6 linked regions of the Macaca mulatta genome follow. The protein of the gene in region 6 interacts with the protein of the main gene of each other region in a biochemical or structural test. Links are inferred from orthologs where the notes say so. Each region holds a gene or a part of one and is shown on either strand. Other genes may lie near its edges. The genes, in order: PDK1, RPS6, MAPT, MTOR, RPTOR and RPS6KB1.

Evidence for each region.
Region 1: the proteins of RPS6KB1 (region 6) and PDK1 form a complex in vitro, tested with the Homo sapiens proteins (2 studies listed by BioGRID and IntAct, with this or other methods). The link is inferred for Macaca mulatta from reciprocal best matches to the Homo sapiens genes RPS6KB1 and PDK1.
Region 2: of the proteins of RPS6KB1 (region 6) and RPS6, one has a biochemical effect on the other in vitro, tested with the Homo sapiens proteins (4 studies listed by BioGRID). The link is inferred for Macaca mulatta from reciprocal best matches to the Homo sapiens genes RPS6KB1 and RPS6.
Region 3: of the proteins of RPS6KB1 (region 6) and MAPT, one has a biochemical effect on the other in vitro, tested with the Homo sapiens proteins (2 studies listed by BioGRID and IntAct). The link is inferred for Macaca mulatta from reciprocal best matches to the Homo sapiens genes RPS6KB1 and MAPT.
Region 4: of the proteins of RPS6KB1 (region 6) and MTOR, one has a biochemical effect on the other in vitro, tested with the Homo sapiens proteins (18 studies listed by BioGRID and IntAct, with this or other methods). The link is inferred for Macaca mulatta from reciprocal best matches to the Homo sapiens genes RPS6KB1 and MTOR.
Region 5: of the proteins of RPS6KB1 (region 6) and RPTOR, one has a biochemical effect on the other in vitro, tested with the Homo sapiens proteins (6 studies listed by BioGRID and IntAct, with this or other methods). The link is inferred for Macaca mulatta from reciprocal best matches to the Homo sapiens genes RPS6KB1 and RPTOR.

The regions. Positions count from the first base shown.
Region 1 is NC_133417.1:77,481,115-77,486,108, forward strand, and holds part of PDK1 (pyruvate dehydrogenase (acetyl-transferring) kinase isozyme 1, mitochondrial), read left to right. Parts: intron 1-194; coding exon 195-266; intron 267-2,486; coding exon 2,487-2,671; intron 2,672-2,958; coding exon 2,959-3,054; intron 3,055-4,783; coding exon 4,784-4,861; intron 4,862-4,994. UniProt on the Homo sapiens protein: Kinase that plays a key role in regulation of glucose and fatty acid metabolism and homeostasis via phosphorylation of the pyruvate dehydrogenase subunits PDHA1 and PDHA2.
Region 2 is NC_133420.1:79,810,645-79,816,073, forward strand, and holds the start of RPS6 (small ribosomal subunit protein eS6), read left to right. Parts: upstream 1-1,602; 5' UTR 1,603-1,643; coding exon 1,644-1,649; exon of another isoform or gene 1,650-1,750; intron 1,751-2,198; coding exon 2,199-2,330; intron 2,331-2,909; coding exon 2,910-3,120; intron 3,121-3,300; coding exon 3,301-3,447; intron 3,448-5,168; coding exon 5,169-5,326; intron 5,327-5,429. UniProt on the Homo sapiens protein: Component of the 40S small ribosomal subunit. Plays an important role in controlling cell growth and proliferation through the selective translation of particular classes of mRNA.
Region 3 is NC_133421.1:70,918,850-70,923,843, reverse strand, and holds part of MAPT (microtubule-associated protein tau), read right to left. Parts: intron 4,401-4,994; coding exon 4,288-4,400; intron 1-4,287. UniProt on the Homo sapiens protein: Promotes microtubule assembly and stability, and might be involved in the establishment and maintenance of neuronal polarity.
Region 4 is NC_133406.1:229,490,902-229,495,895, reverse strand, and holds part of MTOR (serine/threonine-protein kinase mTOR), read right to left. Parts: intron 4,190-4,994; coding exon 3,945-4,189; intron 2,519-3,944; coding exon 2,303-2,518; intron 1,943-2,302; coding exon 1,737-1,942; intron 1-1,736. UniProt on the Homo sapiens protein: Serine/threonine protein kinase which is a central regulator of cellular metabolism, growth and survival in response to hormones, growth factors, nutrients, energy and stress signals.
Region 5 is NC_133421.1:90,242,406-90,248,017, reverse strand, and holds the start of RPTOR (regulatory-associated protein of mTOR), read right to left. Parts: upstream 3,239-5,612; 5' UTR 2,461-3,238; coding exon 2,299-2,460; intron 1-2,298. UniProt on the Homo sapiens protein: Component of the mechanistic target of rapamycin complex 1 (mTORC1), an evolutionarily conserved central nutrient sensor that stimulates anabolic reactions and macromolecule biosynthesis to promote cellular biomass generation and growth.
Region 6 is NC_133421.1:50,035,164-50,040,157, reverse strand, and holds part of RPS6KB1 (ribosomal protein S6 kinase beta-1), read left to right. Parts: intron 1-638; exon of another isoform or gene 639-835; intron 836-3,819; coding exon 3,820-3,927; intron 3,928-4,994. UniProt on the Homo sapiens protein: Serine/threonine-protein kinase that acts downstream of mTOR signaling in response to growth factors and nutrients to promote cell proliferation, cell growth and cell cycle progression.

The sequences.
Region 1 (4,994 bases), on a different chromosome or scaffold from region 6:
ATGTGTACCTTCTACTATTTGTTCCCAGCACTTTTCTCGAATGTGCATGGGTGTAAAAATTCTACTTCAACCATAATTTATAGCAGTACTCTAAATTAAAAATTATAAAATGCTAAAAATAGCTTTTGAGCTAAGTTTCATGATAACTTTCAGAATATAAAAGAACGAACTTATCCTCTTGATCTGCATTTTAGGTATATCCAGAGTCTTCAGGAGCTTCTTGATTTTAAGGACAAAAGTGCTGAGGATGCTAAAGCTATTTATGAGTAAGTTCACTATTTTGACCCTATTCTTAAACCTATTATTAGGTCACTTAGGGGAAATTGATTAACTTTTAGGTTTCTGCTACTTTACAACATGTGATATATGTGACTATAGCAGCCCATACAGGCAGGATAAATAACCTAATCATTAAATTTGACTAGGCATAAGAAATGCTTCGCATTCCTCTTTAACAAAAGACAAAGTTCAGGTGTGATGATCAATGGAAATGTAGATGTGGCCTCAGTTGCAGTTGGATTGTTAACCTGGAGGGTGCATGCTCTTTCTAATGGACAACCACCTTCAGCCCCAGCTGATCTTTGCCATGTTAAAATACTGCTCATATCATCTGATTGTTTTCTGATTTTAAAGGAAAGCTACAAGTCTAGGTTTGTAATGTAAAATCTCTTGCTTTTGAAAGATTGGCAGCTAATTAAAACATTTTTTAAAACATAGAAGGCCTATAAAACATGGTTGCAGGTTTCTAGTTTATTCTCTATGGCCTGTAAGATGTCAGTAATATGACAAGTTTAATAACCCATATACCGGAATTGGTAGACCAAAGTATTTGCCATATGCAGCTACCTGCTTATTGCAGTGAAGGGCACCGACAATGTAATGACCATCTCTTGTCCTCAGTTAGTTACACATGTTTTTTGGACTGTCTTTAAAGGGAACAGTAACACTTCATTTTTTTAAACATGATTTTAATCTGAAAATAACGTTCAGCAAGAGTTTACTCCTTGCTTAGGTATTGAGCAGACTTTACATGAATGATGTTTTTTAATCTTTAAAACAATTCATTGAAATAATGCTGTTTGTGCACAAAGAGGGCATGTAGCTTAAGGTTACATAGTTAGCACATGGTAGAATCCAAGCAGCCTTACTTTAGAAGTAAACATGCTATAGAGCCTTCTGAAAACAGTCGTTCAGAGCTGTGGAAAATAAGTAGTCAAGCAGAATAATACAGCTTTGTTTTCTTTTAAGAAAAAAGAAAAATAAATAAAGGAATGACTAGAATGATGAGTTGTTTGTTGTTTTCGAAGAGTTTTGTTGTTTGTATTTTGGTTTAACAGTCTTGTTTTGAAGCTTGTTACTAACTAGGAATTCCAAAAATGTTTTAAGCAGTGGAAACATCATTGGAATAAGTTAATAGTACTCAAGATGATGACTTTGAATAGGAAAACACTCATTTGGAAGTGTAAATTCAGATGGGTTATGTTAGAAAATTGGTTTTGTTACTGCATAATTAAGACTTCTTGGGCCGGGCACAGTGGCTTATGCCGGTAATCCCAGCACTTTGGGAGGCCGAGGTGGGCAGATAGTCTGAGGTCGGGAGTTCAAGACCGGCCTGATCAACATGGAGGAACCCCATCTCTACTGAAAATACAAAATTAGCCAAGCGTGGTGGTGCATACCTGTAATCCCAGCTACTGAGGAAGGCTGAGGCAGTAGAATCGCTTGAACTTGGGAGGTGGAGGTTACAGTGAGCCAAGATTGTGTGATTACACTCTAGCCTGGGGAAAAAGCAAAACTCCATCTCAAAAAAAGAAAAAAAAGATTTCTTTTCTCTTTTGTCTTTTATTTAGTTCTTTAACCATGCAACGTCTTCTAAGTGACAGAAATGGGAAGGCTACTAGATGATTTGAAGATTTATCTTTTAATACAATTGTTTACTTTTCCTCTCCCATTTTATAAACTCATAGAATAAATGAAATGATAATTCTTTTTTCGTTTTTCTGTCCTAAGTGTTTCCTTCTCTCTTTGAACCCTAGGGAATAGTTCTAAAACAGGCAGGCTTTATTGGCTCATTCATCTTGATTCCTTGCAGAGCAGAGCAGGTGTTCCCTAGAGGCAAGTGCTTTGTCTTCTTCTATGCAGAATATCTCTGGAATACCATCCTCTTAGCAAGTGCTCAGATAACCTTAGTTGATAGCAGTTAAAACCATTAACATTTTTAAGATTATGTTTTGTCACAGCCTTACTCTTAGGAAACCAAGAAAATAATTACATTTTGAAAGTTTTATTTTGGAGGTCGTTATACTTCCATAGATTTGGTATATTTTATGATTTGAAATACATTTAAATAAGTATAGGAAAACATGAACTGATTTTCCTTTTAGTAAATTAGGGATTTTTGTCTAGCATAGTTGGTTAAACTTATATTTTTGTATTAAGTTTACTTGTCAAAATATTTGGCTGTTTTGACAGATGGGTTTGTTTAGCTTTACAGATACTGTGATACGGATCAGAAACCGACACAATGATGTCATTCCCACAATGGCCCAGGGTGTGATTGAATACAAGGAGAGCTTTGGGGTGGATCCTGTCACCAGCCAGAATGTTCAGTACTTTTTGGATCGATTCTACATGAGTCGCATTTCAATTAGAATGTTACTCAATCAGCACTGTAAGTGTCCTGAGTCAAGAGAAGCAGCTAAATGAGATGTGGTGGCATATTTTAAATGTATTTAGGAAACTTCCATTTAGGTAGAAAATTTAGTTTTACCTTTTGGCTAATTAAGAGAAGTAAATAGACTGCCATCAAGAAAGGTATTTTTATTGAATGTAAAATACTGTGTTTATCCTAAAGGCAAATATTTGTTCTACTGTTTGGTACAATTTAAACACTATTCAGATTTGGAAAAGAGCATTAGGTAGTTTAGCTTATTTTGTTGGTTTTGTCTTTTTGGATAGCTTTATTGTTTGGGGGAAAAGGCAAAGGAAGTCCGTCTCATCGAAAACACATTGGAAGCATAAATCCAAACTGCAATGTAGTTGAAGTTATTAAAGGTAAATACTGACATTTCTCTTTACAAAAAAGATACAAAAATCAAAGTTACTGTTATTTCTTACTATTAAACAACTATTTGTATCATGAGATAAAATGGTAGGCACCAATGCATGGGTTTGAAAATAACCTTATAGTATTATTTGTGCATTATTTATAGGATGACTATTTTATTGATAGAATTATAGATAGGCAAAGTTTGGTGATACTATAGAGGATATCTTTTTTGTTTTGTTTTGTTTGAGACAGAGTCTCATTCTGTTGCCCAGGCTGGAGTGCAGTGCTGCGATCTCAGCTCACTGTAGCCTCTGCCTCCTGAGTTCAAGCGATTGTCTTGCCTCAGCCTCCCCAGTAGCTGGAGTTACAGATGCTCAACACTACGCCTGGCTAATTTTTGTATCTTTAGTGCAGATAGGGTATTACCATGTTGGCCAGGCTGGTCTGGAACTCCTGCCTGCCTCGGCCTCCTGAAGAGCTGGGATTACAGGCGTGAGCCACTGAACCCAGCTGAGGGTATCTTTCACTTAAAAAAGATTTCAAGTCCCTGCTCCCCTGTTTCTAATTCCTTGCACTATGAGCAGTAATTCGTAACAGGTTGGTTTGAATCCTTTCACGCTTTCTTCTATTTATACCACTTGTACACATACACAATTGATATTGGCCTTACATTGTTGTTTTTAGAAAATGGGGTGCTCTGTGATTTTTCTACAAGTTTGCAGACATCTTGCTGTTCAGTACATCTGGATATACCCCAAGATTTTGAATGGCTGTATGGAATGTATCAGTATGTATTAATTAATTCTCCTGTTGGCGTACATTTAGGTTGTTTTAATTTTTTTGTTACCACCAATACCAGCAGTTCTGCTGTGAACATCCTTAAATACATGCTTACTTTTGCTAGTATTTTAGAGGGTAAGATTCCTAGAATTAAAAACATTTAAATGCATATAAAATTTTGGTATCTCTAAAAAGGTATCAAACAGTGGATAAGAGTATTTCCTAACCAACTCTTAAGTTTTGTTATATAGATAGGAAATATTTTCTTCAACCTGTTATTTTTCTTTTTTTTGCATTGTCGTTGGTGTCTTTTTAGCATATACACTTTTACATTTTTTTGTAGTTATATTTGTCATTTATTGTTTATGGCTATTCAGCTTTGTCATGTCACACTTAGACTTTCCCTGGGCCAGGTGCAGTGGCTTATGCCTATAATCCCAGCACTTTGGGAGGCTGAGGCGGGTGGATCACCTGAGGTCAGGAGTTCGAGACCAGCCTGGCCGACATGGTGAAACCCCACCTGTACTGAAAATTCAAAAATTACCTGGGTGTGGTGACACATGCCTATGTAGTCCCAGCTACTTGGGAGGCTGAGGCAGGAGAATCACTTGAACCGGGGAGGTGGAGGCTGGAGTGAGCTGAGATAGCGCCACCACACTCCAGCCTGGTTGACCAAGACTCTGTCTCAAAAAAAAAAAAAAAAAAAAGAGAAAGGCTTTACCTGGTTGGGGGCCTTGAGCCCAGGAGCTGGAGACAAACCTCAGCAATATAGCGAGACCATGTCTCCACCAAAAAAAAAAAAAAAAAAAGCAGAGACTTTCCCTAAACTATCAAAGTATATTTTCTTCTGTAGAGAGTTTAAGACTTTCATTTGTCAATACTATTGCCATCTTAATGCATGAAAGGGAAGTATATTTATTAAATCCTTTTTTGTTTTGTTTTGATTCGCACTAGATGGCTATGAAAATGCTAGGCGTCTGTGTGATTTGTATTATATTAACTCTCCCGAACTAGAACTTGGAGAACTAAATGGTAAGCCTGATGTTGTCTTTTTCTCAGTGATTAGTGCGTTGATTACTTCATAAGGGATAAGAATTTAAATGTTTTAATGGAAGATGACTTTTTTCATCAAATTCATTGGATATGAAGGCTAAAGGATAGTAAT
Region 2 (5,429 bases), on a different chromosome or scaffold from region 6:
GCTTATACAGACATTTCTCTAAAGAAGATATACAAATGGCCAACAAACACATTAAAACATGCTCAACATCATTAGTCATTAGGGAAATGCAAATCGAAACCACTATGAGTCGCAGCTACTCCAGAGGCTGAGGCAGGAGGATGCTGCAGGCCAAGAGTTCCAGACCAACAGGATCTCGCTTTGACCCTGTCTCTACAATACATTTTTTAAAAATTAAAAAAAAAAAAAAAAAAAGTGTTGGCCATGATTTTGATAAACTGCGGCCCTCATACATTGCTGGTGGGAATGTAAAATGGTCCAGCTGCTGTGAAATAGTTTCCGTTTCTCCCTGAGAATAAAATTACTGTATGACCCAGCAATTTCACTCTTAGGTATATACCTAAAATAACTGAAAACAAGTACTCATACATAGAAGAACTATTTACAATAGTTAAAAGGTAGAAACAACCCATATGTCTATTAATGGATGAATGGATAAACAAATTGCAGTCTATACCTACACTAGCATATTGAGCCATAAAAGGGATGACATACTGATACATGCTACGACTCAAAAGATTAGTCAGACAGACACAAACGGTCAATATTGTATGATTCCATTTTTGTGAAATAGGCACATCCACTGAGACAGGACACAGATTGGTGGTTGCCAGGGCCTGGTGGAAATGGGGAAGGGGGAGCAACCGCTTAACGGGGCACAGCGTTTTCTTTTAGGATGATGAAAATGTTTTGGAACTGTATCGATAGAGAGGCTGGTTGTACAGCATTGTGAATGTACTAAATGCCACTGAATTGTTCACTTTAAAAATGACTGGTTATGTCAATTTCACCTTAACAAAAAAATTACATACAGTACTCAGATTTTAAAAAGCATCATTTCACCAAGATTCCACGAATTAATGTGAGATGATCAAAGCGGATTCAGTAGAGTCATTCAACTTCGAACGTGAAACAGTCCTAAACTCAAACCTTTGTGACACTAAAGTGGGAAGATGGTATGTGATAATTTTAGAAAGTAAACATTATTCTTGTTTACTTGATTTGGAACTCGAACTTTTATTATTTTGAGGCGGAGTCTCCCTCTGTCGCCTAGGCTGCAGTGCAGTGGTGCGATATGGGCTCACTGCAACCTCCGCCTCTCGGGCTCAAGCGATTGTCGTGCCTCAGCCTCCCTAGTAGCTGGAACTACAGTCGCCCCCCCCCACCACGCGCGGCTAATTTATATATTTTTATTAGAGACGGAGTTTCGCCATGTTGGCCAGGCTGGTCTCGAACTCCTGACCTAAAATAATCCGCCCGCCTCAGCCTCCCAAAGTGTTGGGATTACAGGCGTGAGCCACCCAGCTCCAAAACCCAGGGAGCGTGGAAAAGACAAGACAGGGAAGGGGCTAACCCTCAGAATCACACGCGGGCTCGCCTTACCAGACCACCACTGCTGGCATAACCTCACAACCACTGGCAACCAACTTCACCTCCCAGACCCTGATTCAACTCAACCCCGGAAGTGCCGCCCACCCGTGCTTACTTCCGCTGTCCCGTACTTCTGCTCATCTCGCGAGAACTGAAAGCGCCTATGAGACTTGCGCTAAGCGGAAGTTGGTCCTCTTTTCCGTGGCGCCTCGGAGGCGTTCGGCTGCTTCAAGATGAAGGTAGGTGGTGGTGGCGAGTGTTAGACTGGTTTGGGGAACGTGAATCGAGTCCCAGAACGCGGCATTGCCTCATTTCCAGCACTGCAAGATCCTGGCTTTAGGTGCAGAAGGGTCTCAAGTAGGAGAAGGCTCGCTTTTCTGGGGCATGGAGCTTTTTGGCCGAGCGGATGGCAGGCGATTGCGGCTGGAGCCGCGGCGGGCCGGGAGCGCCATGGTGGCGTCCCGGCGTGTTGCCCAGTTTGCGGCAGGCCTGTGGTGCGGCTCTTGACCCCGGCTTTCTTGCTTCGGGAGGGTGAACAGCTGCGGAGCGCCCTCGCCCCCAGAGTCATTCTGCGGGGCTTGAGGGGAACACGTCCTCCTGAGTGCGGCGCTTCTTGACTGCTACTGTGCTTTCACGTGCTTTTAGTGAGTACGGTCGGCATCTCATATTTCCTGCTTGTGTGGAGGCAACATGAAAGGCTTTTTGCAGTGGAATTAACTTTGTGGATGGCTCTACAATTACCTGTGTAGGTAGTTTCGTAAACTATTTCCCTCCCTTTTAATCCTTAGCTGAACATCTCCTTCCCAGCCACTGGCTGCCAGAAACTCATTGAAGTGGACGATGAACGCAAACTTCGTACTTTTTATGAGAAGCGTATGGCCACAGAAGTTGCTGCTGACGCTCTGGGTGAAGAATGGAAGGTAAAAGTTAACAATCAAATTGTTGCAGCTATTGAAGTCAGACGGTAAACGCCATTGGTAATTGGTATTTGGAATGGGGTTCAGACTGCGGGTTCTGGCTTCTGACCTTTGGTAAGTTGCTTCCGAATGCCACTTTATGAAGCTGAGCTGTTACCTTGGAGGGGAGACATAGAGTAAGCCGTAAAATATACGTAAAGTTTACATCAACGTAATTCTTGCCATGCATCATGCATTCGGCAGATGTCACATAGCTGTCCTCATAATCTCCAAAGTGCGAAGACGCATTGTATCTTGTTTGTTGCTCTTTGATATTTTATCTTCCTAGTGCTGTTATTTCTAATAAAACATCGGTTAGAAATGCGACTTGAATGAAAGACATCTGATAATTGAACTTGATAAGTTGGGAATGTAGACAAAACTTACTGATCAGAGAAAACGTGCTTAAGTTTTAAGTTTAAATTGGTTTTCATAATGAATTATACTTTCTCATATAGGTGTGGTTCACAGAGGTCACAATCCTGTATTGTATAATTTTGGAATAGAAATAGTAAATGTGTCATTCATTGTATGCTCTTGCAGGGTTATGTGGTCCGAATCAGTGGTGGGAACGACAAACAAGGTTTCCCCATGAAGCAGGGTGTCTTGACCCATGGCCGTGTCCGCCTGCTACTGAGTAAGGGGCATTCCTGTTACAGACCAAGGAGAACGGGAGAAAGAAAGAGAAAATCAGTTCGTGGTTGCATTGTGGATGCCAATCTGAGCGTTCTCAACTTGGTTATTGTAAAAAAAGGTGAGGGTTACTTGTGTTCAATTTTCATTGAAATTGATGTAAAGCCAGTTGTCCAAATGCTTATTCATTTGCAGTATCCAATGGATTTGTTTCTTTACCATCAATTCAACATTAAATATTCTGATTTAGGATTCTTAAGGAAGTTGTTGAATTAAAATCTTTTCAATTGTGTCTTCTAAGGAGAGAAGGATATTCCTGGACTGACTGATACTACAGTTCCTCGCCGCCTGGGCCCCAAAAGAGCTAGCAGAATCCGCAAACTTTTCAATCTCTCTAAAGAAGATGACGTCCGCCAGTATGTTGTAAGAAAGCCCTTAAACAAAGAAGGTAGGAGGGATTATGCAATTAGGGCTTGCTTAATTTTGGTGATTTGTCAATATCATTTTGTGTGCATATGAGAAGATAAAAATGTGCCTTTGGAGCCTTAGCATTCTTCACCTGGAGTCTGAATTTTTACAAAAAATATGTGGGGGTGGCCAGCATACCCACTTGGTATTAATCCTTGCTTATTATATCCAGTGCCTTGTAGAGTGCAGTAATTTCCTTGAAAATCTGCCTGTGAATCTTTGATGTATACATTTATCCAAAACTAACCTGACTTTAAGGTCATTGCTATCTGGTTTAGGAGTCACATGCTTGAGAATTCTGGAACTATTATCTCACCACCACACACTTTGTAATTTTACATCAGATGTTCTAAATTATTACTGTTAATATTTTTTAAGAGATGAGGTCACACTGTGTTGCCCAGGCTGGTCTAGAACCCTTGAACTCAAGTGATCCTCCCACCTTGGCCTCCCAAAGTGCTGGGATTACAGGCCACCACACCCAACCCTAAATTATTTTTTGGCTTACTAAAGAAGTTGCTTTAAACTTTTGTTTCATCTGTAGGATATGGATAACAATTGTTAAGAGTTGTAAGAATTAGAAGTTAGAGACCTTAGAATACTAGGAAGTGGGAGTTAGGGATTTTGGAGCTTTACCTTTTAAGAACTTGTGTCAATATATTAGACAACATACCAGTGAGGACCTCAAATGACAGTATTTCTGTAGTGAAATTTGGGAATGTTTATGTTAAATAGAATAAACAGCATGTCAGTCAAGGTTGGGTTTTCCTGACAAAATCTGAAAGAATTTCTCTGGATTTTGTTTTTTCAGGACTGGTGTGACTTAACACCTGTACATGGCATATATAGTACATGTTTGTTAAGTCAGTAATTACAATTATTTGAGCACCAGGTACTGTTCAAGGTGCTGAGAATACAGTATAGACAAATTCCTACCCTAATGAAGCTGACATTGCAAAAAAAAAAAAAAGAAAAGCAATTGACAAATAGGTGGCAGTTGCCGATAATCACAGCCCTGGAAATAATCAGAATAATAAAAGCGTGGTGTGGTTGATGGGTATTTTTAGATGGTTCCTGTGTTTATAGTAGGAGTCTGAAATATTAGCAGAACCTGAACATCTGAGCATTTAGCCTAAGGCAATTAAACTCCCACGAGTGTTCATGAAACAGCCTGTGCTCCAATGCAAATCTACAGTCTGAGCAGTTTTGGAGTACAGATCAGATTAATGAAGATACTTTAACAACATGTCACATAATCTGATGTTAATTGTTACGTTACCCCTGAATTGGCAGGAATTGTCAAGGGAAATAGAGATGCAAGCTTACATCAAACTTACACTTAAAAGTATGGCAGGATGATTATGTAAATACTATGTTAAGTGGTTTTCACAGACAAATTGACTATGCAGAGTTATATTTTAACATAATGCCACTGTATTTTAGTAAAACTGGAAGGTAGTAAAGGTTAGCTTGGTTATTTTTCAGCACTTGGTTTCCCTTATATTTTTATATTTAACCCATCTTCTAGATTTCTGTGGAGGAGCAAAAAGTATTTTAAAATACTTCTGATTTGATTTTAAAGGCCTCAATACAGGTTTTCATAGATGCTGTTGATGAAGCTTACGTTCATTTCTGATGTTTTTAAAGTAGATGTGGATTCTAACAAAACAGTTGAAATGATTGAGTCCTTTGAATTTTTAGGTAAGAAACCTAGGACCAAAGCACCCAAGATTCAGCGTCTTGTTACTCCACGTGTCCTGCAGCACAAACGGCGGCGTATTGCTCTGAAGAAGCAGCGTACTAAGAAAAACAAGGAAGAGGCTGCAGAATATGCTAAACTTTTGGCCAAAAGAATGAAGGTTAGTGTAAGATGATTTGAAGGGGTGGGAGGAGTTCGACCTGGCTTTGGATTTGCATCTTTACCCCAGAAAGGCCTTAACTATATGCTGTTTTTTGTTTTGT
Region 3 (4,994 bases), about 21 Mb from region 6:
GCGGATCACGAGGTCAGGAGATCAAGACCATCCTGGCTAACACGGTGAAACCCCGTCTCTACTAAAAAAAAATACAAAAAACTAGCCGGGCGAGGTGGCGGGCGCCTGTAGTCCCAGCTACTCGGGAGGCTGAGGCAGGAGAATGGCGTGAACCCGGGAGGCGGAGCTTGCAGTGAGCTGAGATCCAGCCACTGCACTCCAGCCTGGGTGGCAGAGCGAGACTCCGTCTCAAAAAAAAAAAAAAGAAAAAAAAAGAAAGTAGAGAAACACATGACCTAGCCAGGAGCCCCGAAGGATACCAGGAAACGCGGACGCAGAAGGCGCTCACTGGAGAAGTGAGCAGCGCACAGGAATTCCTGATGACCCTGAAGCGGCCGACAGGGTTATCCTCAGCCCTTGTTGGGTCCTAGGCTCTTTGAGCATCTGGTAAAGCCAAAAATATGTGTGCACATGTCCACCCACGCTCACACCCACACAGCCATTTTCCATATAATTTTAGGAGTCCATGGATCCAGGCTGAAGGGCCCCTATTGCAGCAGGCTTGAATGGGCATAGAGAAAACCATGCTCCCGTTTAAGCTAGATGCATATTTTGTTCATTTGCAGTCACTACTTTGAAAAACAGATTGTTCTCTATTAGTGTATTTTCTTTTTCTTTTTCTTTTTTTTTTTTTTTTAGACAAAGTTTCACTCTTGTCACCCAGGCTGGAGTGCAGTGGCGCAATCTCAGCTCACTGCAACCTCCACCTCCCGGGATCAAGCAATTCTGCCTCGGCCTCCCGAGCAGCTGGGACTACAGGTGTGTGCCACCACACCCAGCTAATTTTTGTATTTTTTGTAGAGACGGGGTTCTGCTGCATTGGCCGGGCTGGTGTCGAACTCCTGATTTCAGGTGATCTGCCTGCCTTGGCCTCCCAAAGTGCTGGGGTTACAGGCGTGAGCCACCATGCCTGGCCTGTTACTGTATTTTCTTGAAAGACCATTTAATACAAGCTTTGATAAAAATATTTATGTTAATGTTTTTTGAAGTGTTTTTTAAGAGAAAGTTGACATTCCTGGGAATGTCCAAAAATCCCCAAACTGAAAGGAACCCAGGAGGCTGGTGGTGTGCCCCACTGCTTGTTAGCAATTTTTCTCAACACACGGAAAACGGGACTAACGCTGCGGGGATCCCTGGGACCAGGATGATGTTTTCTGAGTAGGGGCAGGGCCCTGCCCACCTTCCTGAGCCATCACATGGACAAGTTGGAAACAGAAGGAGCCAAGAAGCTGAGACTCAGCATGGCTCTAACTCAGGTTCTTAGAGGACTGCAACGCACCAGGAACCTTCCAGAACATTGTTTTTTTTGGGGGGGGGGGGTCTCACAACCACCCTGGGACGTAGGTACAGCATTTCCATTTCATCTTGCTGAAGGAGAAACTGAGGCTGAGAGGATTTGCGGATCTTGACTCTCCGAGCAGAGTCAAGCCCAGAGCTCTTCCTAACACAGAGAAGCTTCCAGAGACTGCAGCGGGCCTCCCTTCACCCAGGAAATCGCCAATGCCCATGCCCCTATCCCGACCCACTCAGTCAGACTGTGGGGACGGGGCCAGGCCCAGGTATCTTTAAAGCGCCCCAAGGCTGGGAGGCCCTGCCTTAGACCAGGGGCGGCCTGGGTGGTGGAAACAGCAGAGAAGCTGACTGCTTCCTCAGATAACTGGGCCCGGCCCCCACATCCCTTGAGGCGGGCAGCCTCCTGGTCCCCCGCTGTTTTCTCACTTTGGATAGTGACCCAGGCACTGAAAAGTATCCCTGTGTCCTGCATGGCACAACCTGAGAGCTCTCGGCCAGCTACTATGGACCAGTGCCCTCGCCAGCCTCAGGGCCTGTCTGGAGGTGAGGTCTGCCCCAGGCCACAGTTTACAGCATCTGCGGCAAACACTTCTCACAAAACTACATGGTTAGACATTTATCACAAACACAAGATGAGGGTGCCCATCTGTTCAGAACCAGATGCAGTGGCAAGAGGGGAGGGCGGAGACTGACCAGGGCAGGGGTCTCTCAGCTGCCACCTGAGTGGCCTGGTGGAGAGACAGCCTGGTTGCCACTTCCACCCGACTGGGCCACCTCGAGAAGCAAACTTCCTCACGCCGAGCTGGGTCTCAGATCCCACACCCTTTCTGGGACACCCCGATACGGTTTGGCTGTGACCCCACCCAAATCTCATCTTGAATTATAGTTCCCACAATTCCTACACGTTGTGGGAGGGACCCGATGGGAGAGGATTGAATCGTAGGGGCGGGTTTTCCCTGCCCCTATGTTCTCATGATAGTGCTGTTCTCATGATAGTAAGTCTCCCGAGATCTGATGGCTTTATAAAGGGGAGTTCCCCTGCACAAGCTCTCTTCTCTTGTCTGCCACCATGTGAAACAAGCCTTTCACCTTCCGCCATGATTGTGAGGCCTCCCCAGCCACGTGGAACTGTAACTCCATCAGACCTCTTTCTTTTGTAAATTGCCCAGTATCCGATAGGTCTTCATCGGCAGCATGAAAACAGACTAATACAATCCTTTTCCCTCTACCACGCCCCAGTCAGCTCCTGGGAGACCCTGAAGGTTGGAAAGTGAGCCACTCCCAGAACTTCAGGCTGGGTGTGGGCAGGAAACCCCAGAGGGTGCTTGGCTGCGCTTCTGCAGAAGAGAAGCAGCAGCTACCAGACCGCATCCTGTGCCAGCCCTAGACAGATCTCGCTTAGCGCCACACACACCCTCACTGCACAGACACCCACAGCAAGACCTGGAGACTAGAAACTGCTGGGGACACCAAGGCCCCAGGAGCCTCGTGTGGACACTTCCACAACAGGCAGGCAGAGGCTTTCCTGAAATCAGGATTTCAGCATCATTGTTTTGCTCTAAGTGCCTAGTAACCCATTTAGAAAATTAGATTATGTTCCCATGTGTTCTTGGTGCGCCACAGGTGACTGGGGATGTCCACTTCCTTTTTTAGTTGTCTGCAAACATCAGGGCCTAGGACAGTGGTTCTCATTTTTTTTTTTTTTTTTTTTGAGATGGAGTCTCACTCTGTTCCCCAGACTGGAGTGCAGTGGCATGATCTTGGCTCACTACAACCTCTGCCACCTGGGTTAAAGCGATTCTCATGCCTCAGCCTCCCAAGTAGCTGGGATTACAGGCATGCACCACCACACCCAGCTAACTTTTGTATTTTTAGTAGAGATCATCTCTACTAAACCATCTGCCCACCTTGGCCTCCCAAGGTGCTGGGATTACAGGCATGAGCCACCGCACCCAGCTAGTTCTCACTTTTGACTGCACTAAAGAATCACCTGGGAGCTTTAAAAACTGCAGCCACTTAGGCCAAGCACTGTGGCTCACACCTGTAATCCCAGCACCTTGGGAGGCTGAGGTGGGCATATTGCTTGACCTCAGGAGTTCAAGACCAGCCTGGGCAACATGGCAAAACCTCGTCTCCACAGGAAATACAAAATATTTAGCCGGGCATAGTGGCAGGTACCTGTAGTTCCAGCTACTTGGGAGGCTGAGGTGGGAGGATCACCTGACCCAGGGAGGTAGAGGCTGCAGTGAGCTGAGATCATGCTAATGCACTCCAGCCTGGATGACAGAGGGAGAATGATACGGGCTGGCTGTGTCCCCACCCAAATCTCATCTTGAATTGTAGTTCCCATAATTCCATGTATCATGGGAGGGACCCAGTGGGAGGTAACTGAATCATGGGGGCGGGTCTTTCCCATGCCGTTCTCATGATAGTGAATAAGTCTCATGAGGTCTGATGGTTTTATAAATGGGAGTTGCCCTGCACACGCTCTCTTGCCTGCTGCCATGTAAGACATGCCTTTGCTTCTCCTTTGCTTTCCACCATGATTTTGAGGCCTCCCCAGCCATGTGGAACTGTGAGTCCATTAAACCTCTTTCCTTTATAAATTACGCAGTCTTGGGTATGTCTTTATTAGCAGTGTGAGAACAGACTAATACAAAGACCCTGCCTCAAATACTTAAAAATAAATAAAAACAAAAACTCCAGCAACTGAGTTGCACCTAAGACCGATCAGTCAGCCTCTCCAGTTGGAGCCCAGCTGTGAAATGTGCTAAAGCTCCTGGTGAAGGTGATTGAGACAGGCAGTCGAGACCCACTGGATGCTGCTGAGGGCCCACATCCAGCCAGTCAACACAGAAGCCTCTGTTTTCCTCCTCTGGGAACTGGACCAGTCTTTGTCCACTTGACTTGATTAATGCCCATACCCAAGTGCAGCATCCAACCCGCCCCCTTTACCTTTTTATTTCCTCCGCCAGGGACATGGGTGATATTGTCCAGGGACCCGATCTTCGACTGCACTCTGTCCTTGAAGTCCAGCTTCTCAGATTTTACTTCCACCTGGCCACCTCCTAGAACACAACACACACAAGAGCATCTTGCCATCATCTTCCGCAGTTCCGTGGACTTAGCACACATTACATGAGGTCTGTGGTCTACAGGGCAAAGTGCCAGGGGCTGCTGGGGCACAGCAAAAATTAGATCGGGAGCCACTGCTCTGCAGGGAAGAAGACAGTGACGGGACTTCCAGGTTTGCAGCAGGACTTGAACCAGGGCCAAGCAAGAGGTTTCAAGGAGAGACCAGCCTTTAGAAGTAGGTAAGACTTTCCTTTAGAATGCTGTTTGGATACAAGTAAGTCCTTGAAAAGTGCTTGAAAATAGTTTGCTTCATCTATCTAATCAAAGTATGCATCAATATTTACACAGTAAACTCTTCCTCTTGAGATACTGCAAAGGTAAGTGACAGCTCAACCCAGGAGAAATTATTCTAAATTATACATTGGTTGGCTTCCAGTAAGTCAAGTATTTTTTTATTTTATTTTTTCTTTGAGATGGAGTCTCACTCTGTCACCCAGGCTGGAGTGCAGTGGCGCGATCTCAGCTCACTGCAGCTCTGCCTCCCGGGTTCACGCCATTCTCCTGCCTCAGCCTCCCAAGTAGCTGGG
Region 4 (4,994 bases), on a different chromosome or scaffold from region 6:
GTGCTGGGGTAACAGACACAAGACACTGTGCTCGGCCGTTTAAGAGATATTTCTATGCCAAATTAATGTAGTATGATTTGAGCTAGCAGGCTCAACAGTGATTTTGTTGTGTTTTTTTTTTTTTTTTTTTTTTTTTGAGACGGAGTCTCACTCTGTCACCCAGGCTGGAGTGCAGTGGCGCGATCTCCGCTCACTGCAAGCTCCGCCGCCTCCTGGGTTAACACCATTCTCCTGCCTCAGCCTCCCTAGAAGCTGGGACTACAGGCGCCCACCACCATGCCCAGCTAATTTTTTTTGGATTTTCAGTAGAGACGGGGTTTCACCATGTTCGCCAGGATGGTCTCCATCTCCGGACCTCGTGATCCGCCCGCCTCGGCCTCCCAAAGTGCTGGGATTACAGGCATGAGCCACTGCGCCCAGTCTTTTTTTTTTGAGATGGGAGTCTCTCTCCATTGCCAGGCTGGAGTACAGTGGCGTGCTCTTGGCTCACTACAACCTCTGCCTCCTGGGTTCAAGCAATTCTCCCAGCACCAGCCTCCAGAGTAGCTGGTATTACAGACGTTCGCCACCATACTGGGCTCATTTTTTTTATTTTTAGTAGAGACAGAGTTTCACCATGTTGGCCAGGCTGGTCTCGAACTCCTGACCCCAGGTGATCTGGCCACCTCGGCCTCCCAAAGTGCTGGGATTACAGGTGTGAGCCTCCATGCCCAGCCTTCAACAATGATTTCTATTCCTTCCTAAAACTCAGAAAATTTTTTAAGACTTAAAATGACAGGCACTTCTAACGCAGGCCAGCAGTTAAATAAATCATTAGGCTAAAAACAGAAGTGCCAACGTAAGTACAGCTTCCTAATTTGTTGATTGATGATATAATTTACAGCCACTTTACAACAAATTGTGAACAAACAACATTTCTCTAGAGTGAGTTACATATATTAATGATTTTCTATGTTTAAGTTCCTTATATATTACAAAAAGTGTTTACTTCAAAACAAAGCATGAGGGAGGGTCAGGAAGCAGACAGCGAGCAATGGGGACAGGAAATGAATGGGTGAACCACATAGAGACCCAGAAGAGGCAGCTGGAAATAACTTTGCCAGGCAGGACTGGACCATGTATTGCTCACCAGGAGGCCACAGAACTTACTCAGGTAGGTGAAGACAAAAACTGAGGAGCCATATCTCAAGAGGAATTCTACCTTAGGCTACAGACCAAGCAACTGAGTTTGGCATTCTCATATTATTTAAGAACAAAAGCCAGGATCACAGACTGGGGCAATGACTATCAGAATAAATGGTGGAAACGGTCTCACATTGGTTATTTTTGTGAAGAACAATGGCTTCCATGCTTGACCTGGCACCAGCAAGAAAAGCAGGAGAGTGGAAGGATAGGGAGGCGCTGGGAAGTCTGACACCATCTGCAGCAGATCAATCCAGCAAGCAAAGAGGGCCAAGAAATGGGATCACTGGCGACTTGCCAGGAAAAAGAAAGAACTACATGAGAGGACTCCGAACCACCTTGGAGTCATATTGACAAAGGGCTCATGAGGTGATGAGCACTGGAACTGCCATTATAAAGCCAGGGAAACGTGGACCCTTGCAGACAAATGTGGCTTTTACCAGGTACCTCAATCTTTCTCCCCAATCCTTGTCCTCAACTCCGCTTCCTCAAGCAGCTCTCAAAGTGAGAGTCCTGTCTTCCCTGCCTGTGGGTCTGGCCATCATCCCGGTTACCTGGATGAGCATCTTGCGCAGGAAAGGCATGACAAACGCCGGGTTCATGCTACTGAGTCGGCCCACAGTGCAGATGGCCAGCTCCCGGATCTCAAACACCTGGTCATTCAGAGCCACAAACAAGGCCTGCAAGTTCTCCGCCTGGGCCAGGTGTGCATCAAAGCGCTCGTCCAGGGATGCCAAGACACAATAGCGAATGTCAGGGTCTGCAAGAGCAATGGAGCCTTTGAACATTTCTTCATGACCCCATCACTTTAGCCCTTCCCAGCTTCCACCTCCACTGCCATCAGCGTAGTGGGAAGATTCCAGATGCTTTCTCTCATCTAACCTCTGTTACTCTTTTCTCTACTCATAGGAGTAAAGACAAAGAATTAAAGGCAGATTATCTTACACTAAGAGGCTAGAGTAGCTGCGCCTAACACGCCTTGGCAGAGAAATAGCTGAATATCAGCTTGTTGAGGCCGAAGATCTCTAGAGAGGCCTTTCATTACGTAATGAAACTGGCTACTCGCAACTGCCCTAAGCTCCTTAACTCCCCTAGATTGCTTCTGTCTGGGAAGCCTTACCAGGATCTGTTATCCCAACCACGAGCAGTTTGCTAAGCACGTCTGCCACCACTTGCACTGCAGTCTGGCTAACCACATGAGCATGGCCACTGATGAGGTGGATGGAGGGCGTGAGCAGGCGGGAACAGGTACGGGCAGCCTCCATGCGGATCTCCTTGTGCTCACTGTTTAGAAAATGATCCGCACAGTGGCGAACAAATTGGGTCAGAGAGTGGCCTGGATAGAAAGGCAGAGAGAAAACAGAATAAACACTGCTGCTGCAGACAGGTAGGTCTGCAGCTTGCTAGCTGAATTTTCCATTTTGAGGCTACTAATTCTACTTTCAACCAGATATTGATCAATAAGATACTGACTCAGAACTCCTTTTTTTTTTTTTTTTTTTTTTGAGACGGAGTCTCGCTCTGTCACCCAGGCTGGAGTGCAGTGGCACGATCTCCGCTCACTGCAAGCTCCACCTCCCGGGTTCACGCCATTCTCCTGCCTCAGCCTCCCGAGTAGCTGGGATTACAGGCGCCCACCACCATGCCCGGCTAATTTTTTTTTTCTTTTCTTTTTGTATTTTTAGTAGAGACAGGGTTTCACCATGTTAGCCAGGATGATCTCGATCTCCTGACCTCGTGATCCGCCCGCCTCGGCCTCCCAAAGTGCTGGGATTACAGGCGTGAGCCACCGCACCCGGCCTGACCCAGAACTCTTAAAGGGTAACAAGGGGGCTTTCAATCAGCAGAAAGGCAAAAGAGAAATAGAGAAACCACAATAGAGAAACCACAGGTGGCTGTCTCCAGACAGCATGTTCAGGCTTTCTGTACTTGCTTGTTTCTCTACAGTCTTGACCAATACTACCTATATGATCTTAAATTTCAAAAGTATCAACTTCTCCTCCTGAAATATATCTCTGTGGGGTATTATTGTGGGTTTATTTGCAGTTTAGAACTACACAGTACAGTACTTTTAGAAATCATACCGCCAGCCGGGCACAGTGGCTCATGGTTGTAATCCTAGCACTTTGGGAAGCCGAGGCAGGCAGATCGCTTGAGGTCAGGAGTTCCAGAACAGCCTGGCCAACATGGTGAAACTCCATCTCTACCAAAAATACAAAAATTAGCTGGGTATGGTGACACGCACCTACAGTCCCAGCTACTCAGGAGGCTGTGGCTGGAGAATCGCTTGAACTCAGGAGATGGAGGATGCAGTGAGCTGATATTGTGCCACTGCACACCAGCCTAGGCAACAGAGAGACTTTGTCTCAAAAAAAAAAAAAAAAGAGAAAAGACACCATACCACCATAGACATGGAAACACCCAAAAGCCCCTGCTTATACATTTTAAAGCATTACATATCATCTCAGCTACAAGGAGGTGAAAAAGTGGGGACATGAGGGGGATCTGTCTCTGCAGCATTATTTCCTTGGATCAACGTATACTTTCCCTCAAACGATCTGCCCCCAAACTCAGTATGGGACAAAGAAACAAACAGGAATTACCAATATATGGAAAGAGTCTAGGAAGGATGAGCTGCTACAGAATCAGCTACCCTGTCTCTGGGATCACAGCAAGATCCAGGAAGTCTAGATACTTTCATTCCTTTCCCAAAGTTTCCAGCAGCTCTCACTACCTTGCCAAGAGACATTGTAATTTCTTACCTTCAAATTCAAAGCTGCCAAGCGTTCGGAGGGCAAGAGTGATGCTGCCCACATCGCTGGCCTCAGGGAGGGTTGTGAGGCCAGGAGAGGCCAGCTGATGGGCCAGGCCCTTGGGCATGCCTGGGTGGCGGAGTGGTTTGTGCATAAGGACCAGGGACAGCATTTTCAGTAGCCCATCTTGAATGTCCTTCTTTAGCTGTGGAATCTGACGACTCAGGTCGTAGAGCACTGCAGTGAGGGCAGGGCTGAGGGGAAGGAAACAAGCCACATAAGGGCTGGGCACATGACACTCAGTCTGTTCTTGGGAAGAAATAGCTTTCTCTCCTAGCAAGGGGATCAGGCCTCTGTTCTTCAGAGTAGAAAGGATATTATAAAATAAGAATAAAAGTGTAAACTCTCTTGGCTTAGTCTCAGGTATCCAAACAATCTGTGAGTTTCTGGTTCTCACCACAAAAGATTTGCTCACTATAATTCAGCCACTACAGAAGACCAAGTCTCAACAAACACTCTGGGAGCAGATTTAAAACACTGTCCTTATTTTACAGATGAGGAGAAATTAGTTTAGGAAGCTTAAGCAACTTGCTCAATAATATACACAATATTTGCAAATATTTATTGAGTACTTCCTATATGCCAGGCATGGTGCTAAGAGTGACTATATCATGAACCCACAGCAACCCTAGGCAATACGAATTACTATTGTACCCACTTTTCAGATTAAAAGAAAAAAATGAGGCCGGGCACGGAGGCTCACACCTGTAATCCCAGCACTTGGGAGGCCGAGGCGGGCGGATCACAAGGTCAGGAGATTGAGACCATCCTGGCTAACATGGTGAAACCCCATCTCTACCAAAAATACAAAGAATTAGCCAGGCGTGGTGGCAGGTGCCTGTAGTCCCACCTACTCGGGACACTGAGGCAGGAGAACGGTGTGAGCCCAGGAGGCGGAGCTTGCAGTGAGCTGAGATCGCGCCACTGCACTCCAGCCTGGGCAACAGAGCGAGACTCCTCAAAAAAAAAAAAAAGAGGCTCAGAGAAATTAAATAACTT
Region 5 (5,612 bases), about 40 Mb from region 6:
GCAAGACCCTGTCTCAAAAAAAAAAAAGAAAAGAAAAGAAACAGAAAAACACTCCACAAATGGGCTTTGTTCAGCCTACAGTGTTGGACTACAACGTGTTTGGTAATATATCTGAATTAGTAAGAATATTTACAAATTGGAAGACTTTACATTTAAAAAAATAAAAGTTTGCTGGCTTCTCAAAGACAAAGAAAGAGAGAGGCCTGGCCAAGGCCCAGTTGCCTTCAGTTACGGCATCAGGGAGCTCCCGTTCCCACCCTCCAGAAACTGTCACACACACTGTGTCAAATGTCAGCTGCCATTTATCTTTATCTGTGAACCTATGCCATTATTCTTCTTAAATGTGGCCTGTTTCATTCACTTATGCTACCTTCTCACTCTTAGTATCATTTGAGTTTGCAACTTCTGTCCTATAGGGTGTGTGAAACGGTCCATCAAGGTCTGACCTGAGGGAAGAGATGACAAGATTCCAAACTCCCACAAACTCAACTGAAGATGTTAGCTGCTGATTTTCTCCACTGAAAAACAGATACAGCAAACTTTCTCCCCAGCTGCTTTCTAAGCAACAATCTCAGTAGTTACTAAGAGTCACAGAACTTGTTTCTCTTAACAATCTGTGAAAAGCTTATTATGGAATGTTGATCATTCACAAATTAATGTTTTAATTAAAAGATCAAATATATACCCATTAATCAGTTTCGAACAGTTGGAACATAGGTTTAGGACAGCAGAGGGAACCACATTTCAAAAGAAAAAAAAAAACTGCCCTCTACACAGAATTTTTTTTAAAAAAAGTATTTTCACATATGTATAGCAACCACAAAAGCTTTTAACTATATAATTACTACTAAAGATGTCCATAAGATAGAATATACAACCTCCCCCAATGTCTAACTTATTTAACTCCTTAAACTGCTTTTCGATGAAACAAATTTTTCTAATCTTTTAGAAGTAAGCCAAATCAGTAACTAAAGTACTGCTTACTACTGACAGACTAGAGTTACCAGAAGTGTAATCTTTATTTATTTATTTATTTATTTTTGAGACAGAGTCTCATTCTGTCTCCTAGGCTAGAGTGTAATGGTACGATCTCAGGTCACTGCAACCCCTGCCTCCCAGGTTTAAGCGATTCTCCAGCCTCAGCTTCTCGAGTAGCTGGGATTACAGGCAGCTGCCATCAAGCCCGGCTAATATTGGTATTTTTAGTAGAGACAGGGTTTCACCATGTTGGCCAGGCTAGTCTCAAACTCCTGACCTCAGGTGATCCACCCGCCTTGGCCTCCCAAAGTGCTGGGATTACAGGTGTGAGCCACCGCGCCCAGCCCAGAAGTGTAATCTTATATATGTTCATCATCATATATGAAAAAACAATAATATTCCATAAACATATACATAAGCCTAAAGGAAATCAAACCTTGTAACACCAACTTCCTCTTTTATACCACTGAAACGTGCAAATAAATAAAAGCAGCCTGGAGGGAGAACATAACTTACCAAAAGACAAATTATAAGTGTGCATACATGAGAAGCAGTACCACCCTTTTGCTTTTGAGACCAGGAAATAGATGGTATCTTATGAAGGATAAATTCAACAAAATTCAGCTGTTTTCTTTCCTACCAGCTGCTTGTGAATCACTCTCCACACTCCAACACCATGAGGACAACCTGAAACCTGCAGTCAATGCCTCATACCCTAACTCACAATTAAAGAAATCCTGTCTCCAAGTTACAGCAACAGGACCCTACATAAAAGGAGGAAAGTCTAGCTTCAAGACAAATTGTTGAGAAGACTAGAATGAAGTTCACTGTAACTTTAAAATAACTTTGCACTAATTTGTTACTAGTTGAACATTTTCCAGTAATCTCGTTTCCTAGCATAGTATATCAGACTTCTGCACTTCACCCAGCTTGGAAATTTTACAAAGTAGACTAATTATGTGGGTATAAGCATTATATCGCACGTTGCCCTTCCTCTAAGTGTTAACAGAACAAAGTAGTATGCCGAAGAGCATGTAAATACTCGCAATGCTGTATTTCAAATTTGCTTAACTTTTATTATCTGAATCAGAACTTAGTTGGAATTGAATTAACACTACCCAGTGAATAACGACTAATTAAAACAGCCTTTCCCATTTTCAGCCAAAAACTGCAGTCTGAAATGGCTTTTGCTTTCTAATTGACTTACAACGTGTGGCTGGGGGGAAATGTCAGCGCTTTCCCAAGGACACTTTTCAGGCTGTAAACTTTCTTTGTTGGAGAAACTACCAAGTTCAAGGGGTGCCTTCAGAATCCACTTACCCGATCCTTCATCCTCCAGCTTTGAGCTAAGGATTTGGAGCCTTCAATTTTCTCACAGTGCCTCTTTTTCATAAAAGCCAAAGGTAGGTTCCAGTCTGTAAGATCAGCCTCATCTTCCTCCCCCAGGCCCAGAAGAGGCGACTGCAGCATTTCGGACTCCATCAGTGGGGGAGGGGGTGGGGGAGTCCTTGGCAGCAAGCGCTCAAGAACCTCCAGCCTTAAAAACTAGCGTGTACCAGAATTGGTGAAATAAGAAACAGAAAAACGGGGAATCGAAAAACAAATGGATGGAGAGTGCGGAGACCCTTACTCAGGCAAAAAGTCTGAGATCCTTATCTCTAACTCTGGGCGGGAAGTGGGGAGGTGGGGGCCGCTAGGAAATGGGGCAGCCCAAGAAGCTCCGCAGACACACACCAGCCCAAGTCCCAAGCCACTGGCTGCTCCTGGGGCTGCACGTTTCCAGAGGGGCTGCGAGCGGAGCTGTCAAAAGCGTAAGAGACTTCAGGCCTCACGATGACCCTGCTCTCGGCCTCCAACGCCTCAGCAGTTCCGAGGACAGGCAGGCCGCTCTTGGTGCCGGTTCGCCCACTGGGCCGAGGTCTCCGGCCAAGGGATCGGGTTCAAAGGGCCCTGGGTCTCCTCCAGCCACTCTCAGCCCTGCGGGTCCCGCACTCGTCTGAGCTGCCGCAACCAGAGCCAGGACCGGCCCATCGTGCTCGCCCGCACCCGGTTCCTCAACCTCAGGTCCGCGCGGCCTGGCTGGTCCTGGCCTTCAGCCCCGAGGCTCTCTCCTGCCTGAGAACGAGTCCTGAGAAACAGGCGACACGGAACCACGGAGAAAACGGACAATGAGGGCTTACTGGGTCAGGGGAGCTTTGCCCTCTGGTTTGGAGCTACAGGGAAACTCATCTCATCAGCACATCAAGGAGGACGCCATATTGCCAGGACCCAGAATGCACCGCGGCCTACGGCGTGGCCGACAGACCAAACCTCCTCAGAGCGTTCTCGCCGCGCCACCCAACAAGCAGTGAAGGAAAGGGAGTCCCTGACCCCATTACCTCGGTTACCGTAATTCCGTTTTCCCCAGTTAATCGCCATTTGTTCAGTAGAGGCGTGTTATTAAAGTCAGTCCTACAAATGAAACTGTCGGTTTAATTTATTTTTTCAAAAACATTGTTATTATAAATGAAGCTACATGCTCCTGAAATTAGAGGAATCAACCGCCTTGTTTCTTCCAGATTTTGAAAAAGCGGCAAAAGCTTCAGGAAAAAACACTGATAATATTAGAAAATATAGTACTTTTTTTTTTTTTTTTTAATGTAGTATCTTCCACAGTGTCAATCAGATTTTCTCTTTTTCGTAGAAAACCAAGTGAAAGGCTGGGCGCAGTGGCTCACGCCTGTAATCCCAACACTTTGGGAGGCTGAGGCAAGCAGATCACAAGGTCAAGAGATCGAGACCAGCCTGGCCAACATGGTGAAACCTCCGTCTCTACTAAAAATACAAAAATTATCTGTGCATGGTGGCGCACACCTGTAGTCCCACCTACTCGGAAGGCTGAGGTAGGAGAATCGCTTGAACCGGGGAGGCAGAGGTTGCAGTGAGCTAAGATCAGGCCACTGCACTCCAGCCTGGGAGACTGAGCAAGACTCTTCAGATGAAGAAGGGTCCGAAGCAAGATTCGATGAAAAAAAAAAATTCATCGAATACAATTCTTTGTTTAATCTGTTTCATTTGCTGAGCAGTTTATCCTTTGTAAATTTCTTTTCTCCTGTCTCAGCCTCGCGCACCACCACGCCCGGCTAATTTTTTGTGTTTTTAGTAGAGACGGGGTTTCACCGTGTCAGCCAGGATGGTCTCGATCTCCTGACCTCGTGATCCGCCCGCCTCAGCCTCCCAAAGTGCTGGGATTACGGGCGGATCACGAGGTCAGGAGATCGAGACCATCCTGGCTGACACGGTGAAACCCCGTCTCTACTAAAGAATACAAAAAATTAGCCGGACGTGGTGGCGGGCACCCGGAAGGCAGAGCTTGCAGTGAGCCGAGATTGCGCCACTGCACTCCAGCCTGGGCGACAGTGTGAGATTCCGTCTCAAAAAAGAAAGAAAGAAAAGAAAGAAATTCTAAGTGAGCACGTTGAAGTCCAAACCCACCAGGTGGTCAGAATCGCCCAGGAAACTAAAAATCAGGATGCCCAGCTTCCGCCCCAGACCCCCAGATCGGGGAGCAGGGAGACTGGGATTCAGAATCTGCACTTTTTTTTTTTTTTTTTTTGCAGTTTTTACAGTTTTATTTAAACACCAAACACGCACATGTGTCTACTCATTTTCTTCGCTGCGCAGCCTGGCATGGGGGACAGTGACTCTGACAGCCAGCTAGGCGGCTCTTTCCACAATGGCTTCGCGGTTCCTGGAGGAACGCTGTGAGCGATCTCAGCGCAGTAAGCTTTGTTGCACATCAGCAGCAAGCTCCCTGACGTTGTAGACCATGAACTTCCGGAAGCCAGTGGGCAGCATGGGCTTTGTTTTTTTGTTGCTCCCATAACCAATGTTGGACATCAAGATCTGACCCTTGGCCAGGCGCAGTGGCTCACACCTGTAATCCCAGCACTTTGGGAGGCCGAGGCGGGTAGATCATGAGTTTAGGAGATCGAGACCATCCTGGCTAACACGGTGAAACCTCATCTCTACTAAAAATACAAAAAATTAGCCGGGCGTGGTGGTGGGTGCCTGTAGTCCCAGCTACTTGGGAGGCTGAGGCAGGACTCTTTGCCAGGCTGGTCTCGGACTTTTGACCTCAGGTGATCCACCTGCCTCAGCCTCCCAAAGTGCTAGGATTACAGGCATGAGCCACCACGCCTGGCCTCAACAACAACAACAACAACAAAAATGTTTAAATTAGCCAGGCATGATGACATGCATCTGTAGTACCAACCACTCAGGAGGCTGAGGTAGGAGGATCACTTGAGCCCAGGAGTTTGAGGCTGCAGTGAGCTGAGATCGCACCACTGCACTCCAGCCTGGGCAATCAAGCAAGACTCTGTCTCAAAAAAAAAAAAAAAAAAAAAGGCCGGGCGCGGTGGCTCAAGCCTGTAATCCCAGCACTCTGGGAGGCCAAGACGGGTGGATCATGAGGTCAGGAGATCAAGACCATCCTGGCTAATACGGTGAAACCCCGTCTCTACTAAAAAAGTACAAAAAACTAGCCGGGCGAGGTGGCGGGCGCCTGTAGTCCCAGCTACTCGGGAGGCTGAGGCAGGAGAATGGCGTAAACCCGGGAGGCGGAGCTTGCAGTGAGCTGAGATCCGGCCACT
Region 6 (4,994 bases):
GCAGCCTTGACCTCCCCAGGCTCACGTGAGTCTCCCACCTCAGCTTCCCGAATAGCTGTGACTATAGCTGTCACCATGTCTGGCTAGTATTTTTGTATTTTTTATAGAAACAGGGTTTTGCCATGTCTCCCAGGCTTGTCTCGAACTTCTGGGCTCAAGTGATCCACTCACCTCAGCCTCTCAAAGTGCTGGGATTACATGTGTAAGCTTCTGCACCCAGCCAAGCATCTTTTATTTTTGTACTGTTTTTTAAAGAACTAAAGCCAGTGGCAGTTGACTGTATGAGCTATTTTTAAGTCAGTTACCTAAGACAATTAAATATTTCAGGTAGTTGGTACTTTTCTTTTTCTGGTTTTATTTTGCTTAATTTAACCATTTTAAATATGATTCTCTGGGAATTTTTTCTTCAAACTATAGAATAGATGTGCATTCGTTTGCTAGGCTTGCTGCAACAAAGTACCACAAACCGGGTGGCTGAGACAACAGAAATTTATTATCTCATAGATCTGGAGACTAGAAGTTCTACATCACATTGTTAGAGTTGGTTTCTTTGACGACTGTGAGAAACTGTATGTTCCATGCCTCTCCCCTGGCTTCTGGTGGTTTGCTGGTAATCTCTGTCATTCTTTGGCTTGTAGGTGCATCACCCGGATCTCTGCCTTCATGTTCACATGGTGTTCTACCTGTGTGCATATCTGTGGCCAAATTTCCCCTTTTTATAAGGATACCAGGCATATTGGATTAGGGTTCTTCTCTACTCCAGTAGGACCTCATCTTCACTAATTACATCTGCAATAACCCTTTCCAAATAAGGTCACATTCTGAGGAACTAGAGGTTAGAATTTCAACATACGAAATTTTTTGGGGGGTGGGTAAGGCACATGCTTCAACCCATAGCAATATGTTTTTGAGTAAATGAGTTAGTATGTTAGTTATTGTCTTTCTCCCACCTCAGAATCTGAGAAAATACAGTTTCTTTTTCCATTCCTTGGGATGTAGGTGGAGAAGGAGGAGGATGATGATGGTGATTATTTTTTGGTCATGGAGCTAATGTGACCCACTTTAAAAAACAACAGACAATTGTAAGGAGGATAACTGTCATACACCTACCGCCCAGCTTAAAAAATGATTAGGTCATCTTGTTTAAACATAACTGCCATCCCAGCATCACACCTCAGAAGTTGACAGTTTGCCCAGTTTTTTTTTTTTTTTTTTTTTTTTTTTGAGATAGGATCTTTCTCTGTTGCCCAGGCTGGAGTGCAGTGGCATGATCATGGCTCATGGCAGCCTCAACCTCCCAGGCTCAAGGGATCCTCCCGTATAGCTGGGACCACAGGGGTGTATCACCACACCCAGCTAGTTTTTAAAATTTTTCTAGAGATGAGGTTTCCCTGTGTTTCCCCACTTAATTTTTTGTTGTTGTTGTTCCATTATTTTTTTTTCGTCCTGTTTGTGAGGATTTAATCAAGGTTTGTATATAACTTGGTTACTATGTCTCTTAGGTCTCTTGTTATTTACAGATTCCCCTTGTGATTTACTGACGAAACCGGGTCATTTGTCCTGTAGAATTCTCAGATTTTGATTTCGTTGATATTATCCCCATAGTTTCATTGACCATGTTCATCTGTTCCCTGAACTTCCAAAAACTGGTAGTTAAATTTAGGTGGTTGATCTGATTCAGATTAAACTCTCAGTATTGCATGCTTTGATCAGGAGGCATAATGTATAGTTTTTTGTTGTTTTTTTTTTTTGTGATGTTAGTGGTCACTGATCATTGCCTGTGTCAGCATTTCACTACCAGGGTAATTTGGCAATGTCTGGAGATACACTGATTGTCACAGCTTGGGGGAGGGAATGCTGAGGCACCTTTAGGGGTAAGAGTCAGCACAGCGAAGTATTAATAGGCCTGAAATGTCAGTAGCACTGAGGTTGAGAAACTCTGGCCTACTTTTATAATTTCATCAGGTGTTTGTGAAATGGTCTGATTCTGTTATTTCTTCTTTCTTTGTTAGCTCGAATTCTTCATAAAGAGAAACTCTTTGATCAGTTAGTTACTCAAGGTATAGTTCATACAGGAAACGCAGGATGTATGTTTGATTCTTTCCTAGTTTTCAAAATAATGAATTAGTTCCCTAGCATCTCCCAAAATTGACCAATGAACTTTGTGTATTTTTTTTCTTTTTTAGTATATTATGAACTTACACCTTTTAACATATTTGTATTTCATTTCATTGCAGTTATTTTTATTTTTATTGATTCATTTATTCATTTTATTTATTCATTTATTGTTTTGAGGCAGGGTCTTACTCTGTCACCCAAGCTGTAGTGCAGTGGTGTAATCTCTGCCCACTGCAGCCTTGACTTCCCGGCCTCCAGCAATCCTCCCACCTCAGCCTCTTGAGTAGCAGGGACCACAGGTGCACCACCATGCCCAGCTAATTTTTGTGTTTCTGGTAGAGACGGCATTTTGCCATGTTCACCAGGCTGGTCATCAACTCCTGAGCTCAAAAGCAGTCCACCTGCCTCTGCCTCCCAAAGTGTTGGGATGATGGGCGTGAGCCACCACGCCTGGCAGTTATAATTGATGCTCAATTTTTCCCTTTGTTGAATGCTGGGTGCAGTGAATGCTGGGTGCAGTGAATGCTGGGTGCATCTTCATGTTGGTTTCTGAGTCCTTTTGACATGAGCACATGGGCTGGTGTTGCACCAGAGAGCAAAATAAGGAAACTGGTATTCTGTGCTTATCTTGTGCATTTCCCCACACCTGGAATCAGCCGCTCCTCCAGGGAGTGCGGTTCACAGTCTGGGCTCTGAGAGAATTATAAGGTCAGTGTGGTCATCTTTCAGTATGAAGTCAGATATTCTAAATTATTATTTACTTCCTACATTTGGCCCAAGAGTCTAACCAGATATTTTGGGAGAGAAGGAATTAAATAAATGAATCTCATGGTTAGAACTGAAGTGATAACTATACTTTCACAGGGAAATATAACTTACAAACCATGCGGAATAGAAAATTATTTTTGCTCCTTTAGATTTCTAAAGGAATGAAACACGCTGTGGGAAGAAACTTTAACTGGAGCATCTCACCAGTGTTATTCATGTTTTAACTCTGCTTCAGGAGTTTTTCAGGTTTATTACAAACCTGCAGTAGCCAACTGAACTAATTATCTCTAAACAGGGATTTAGCCAGTGGACTAGGCACAATGAAGCTTTGTGAGACGGGAAATTGATATTAACATTTTTTCCAGCTTGTTTTGAGCTCGATATATTCACTTTTTTTTTTTTTAATTGAGTCAGACTCTCGCACTGTCGCCTGAGCTGGTGTGCAGTGGCACGATCTCTGCTTGCTGCAACCTCTGCCTCCCAGGTTCCTGCCTCAGCCTCCCAAGTAGCTAGGATTACAGGAGCACGCCACCATGCCTGGCTAATTTTTTTTATTTTTAGTAGAGACGGGGTTTCGCTATGTTGGCCAGGCTAGTCTTGAACTCCTGACCTTGTGATCCGCCTGCCTCAGCCTCCCAAAGTGCTGGGATTACAGGCATAAGCCACCATGCCCAGTCAATATATTCTCATTTTTAATAGGAATAACTCTATACTAAAATCTATTAGAGTGCAAGTTTAAGATTTGAAGATGTAATTTGACTCAGTACTTTCCACCTGCATTTTTTTCTTCATTCTGTGCCTGCTAAGACTATTCTAATACTTTATTATAGTTAACCCCTGCGAAAAGAGCTCCCAGAGCTTACAGTGCATTTGATTCATGTAATATATATATGGACTATTTATTATTTTCTAAATTATTTTGTTTGTATAAAGCAATCTGAAGAGGATGTAAGTCAGTTTGATTCCAAGTTTACACGTCAGACACCTGTCGACAGCCCAGATGACTCAACTCTCAGTGAAAGTGCCAATCAGGTCTTTCTGGTAAGTGAAACAATTTCCATGTAGTCATAGGAAATTTTAAGTATGAGGATGGGCTCTTGGATAAGAAAATTCAGTTTGCCTGCTTTGCAGTTCATGTAGGTAACCGGGTCCACTTTTTTTTTTTTCATTAGCGATGCCCTTATAACTTACTGATACCTACAAAATTGATTTTCATAATCCAACATTTTATTTTAGCAATTAGGGTGGGAATGTGCAATTCTTTGGAGAGTATGATTCCCTTTTTTGGTTGGGCCACAGACTTAAAATGGTGTTTGGCTTAGCATCTCAACCAAAAATTAGTCATAGCAGTGGGGAGAAAAACCTCACACTAACTACATGTATTTTATTCCTGAAACAGCTGTAGATTTTTGGTATCCCTTTTTTTTTTTAGACAGGGTCTCACCTTGTAGCCCAGGCTTAGGTATAGGTTATAGTGGTATGATCACAGTTCTTTGCAGCCTTGACCTCCCAGGCTCAAGTGATCCACCCATTTCAGCCTCGTGAGTACCTGGACTACAGGTGTGTGCCACATCCAGTTAAGTTTTGTTTTTTTTTTTGTAGAGACAGAGTCTCACTATTTTACTCCTGGACTCAAGCTATCTTCCCACCTTGGCTTCCCAAAGTGCCACAGTTATAGGCATGAACCATCATTCCTGGCCCTATTTTTGGTACTCTTAACATAAGTAGGGGATTTTTTTTTTTTTTTTGAGACAGAGTCTTGCTCTGTCGCCAGGTTGGAGTGCAGTGGTACGATCTCAGCTCACTGCAACCTCTGCCTCCTGAGTTCAAGTGATTCTCCTGTCTCAGCCTCCCGAGTAGCTGGGACTAAAGGTGCGTGTCACCACGCCCAGTTAATTTTTGTATTTTTAGTAGAGACAGGGTTTCACCATGTGAGCCAGGATGATATCGATTTCTTGACCTCGTGATCCACCCGCCTGATTACAGGCATGAGTCACCGCGCCCGGCCAAGTAGGGGATTTTTAAACATTAATTGTGAATATTTGACATCAAAATATATTGGTTCATATGTAATAGTGAATTCTCATCATAGAAATGCCTGTATAGAT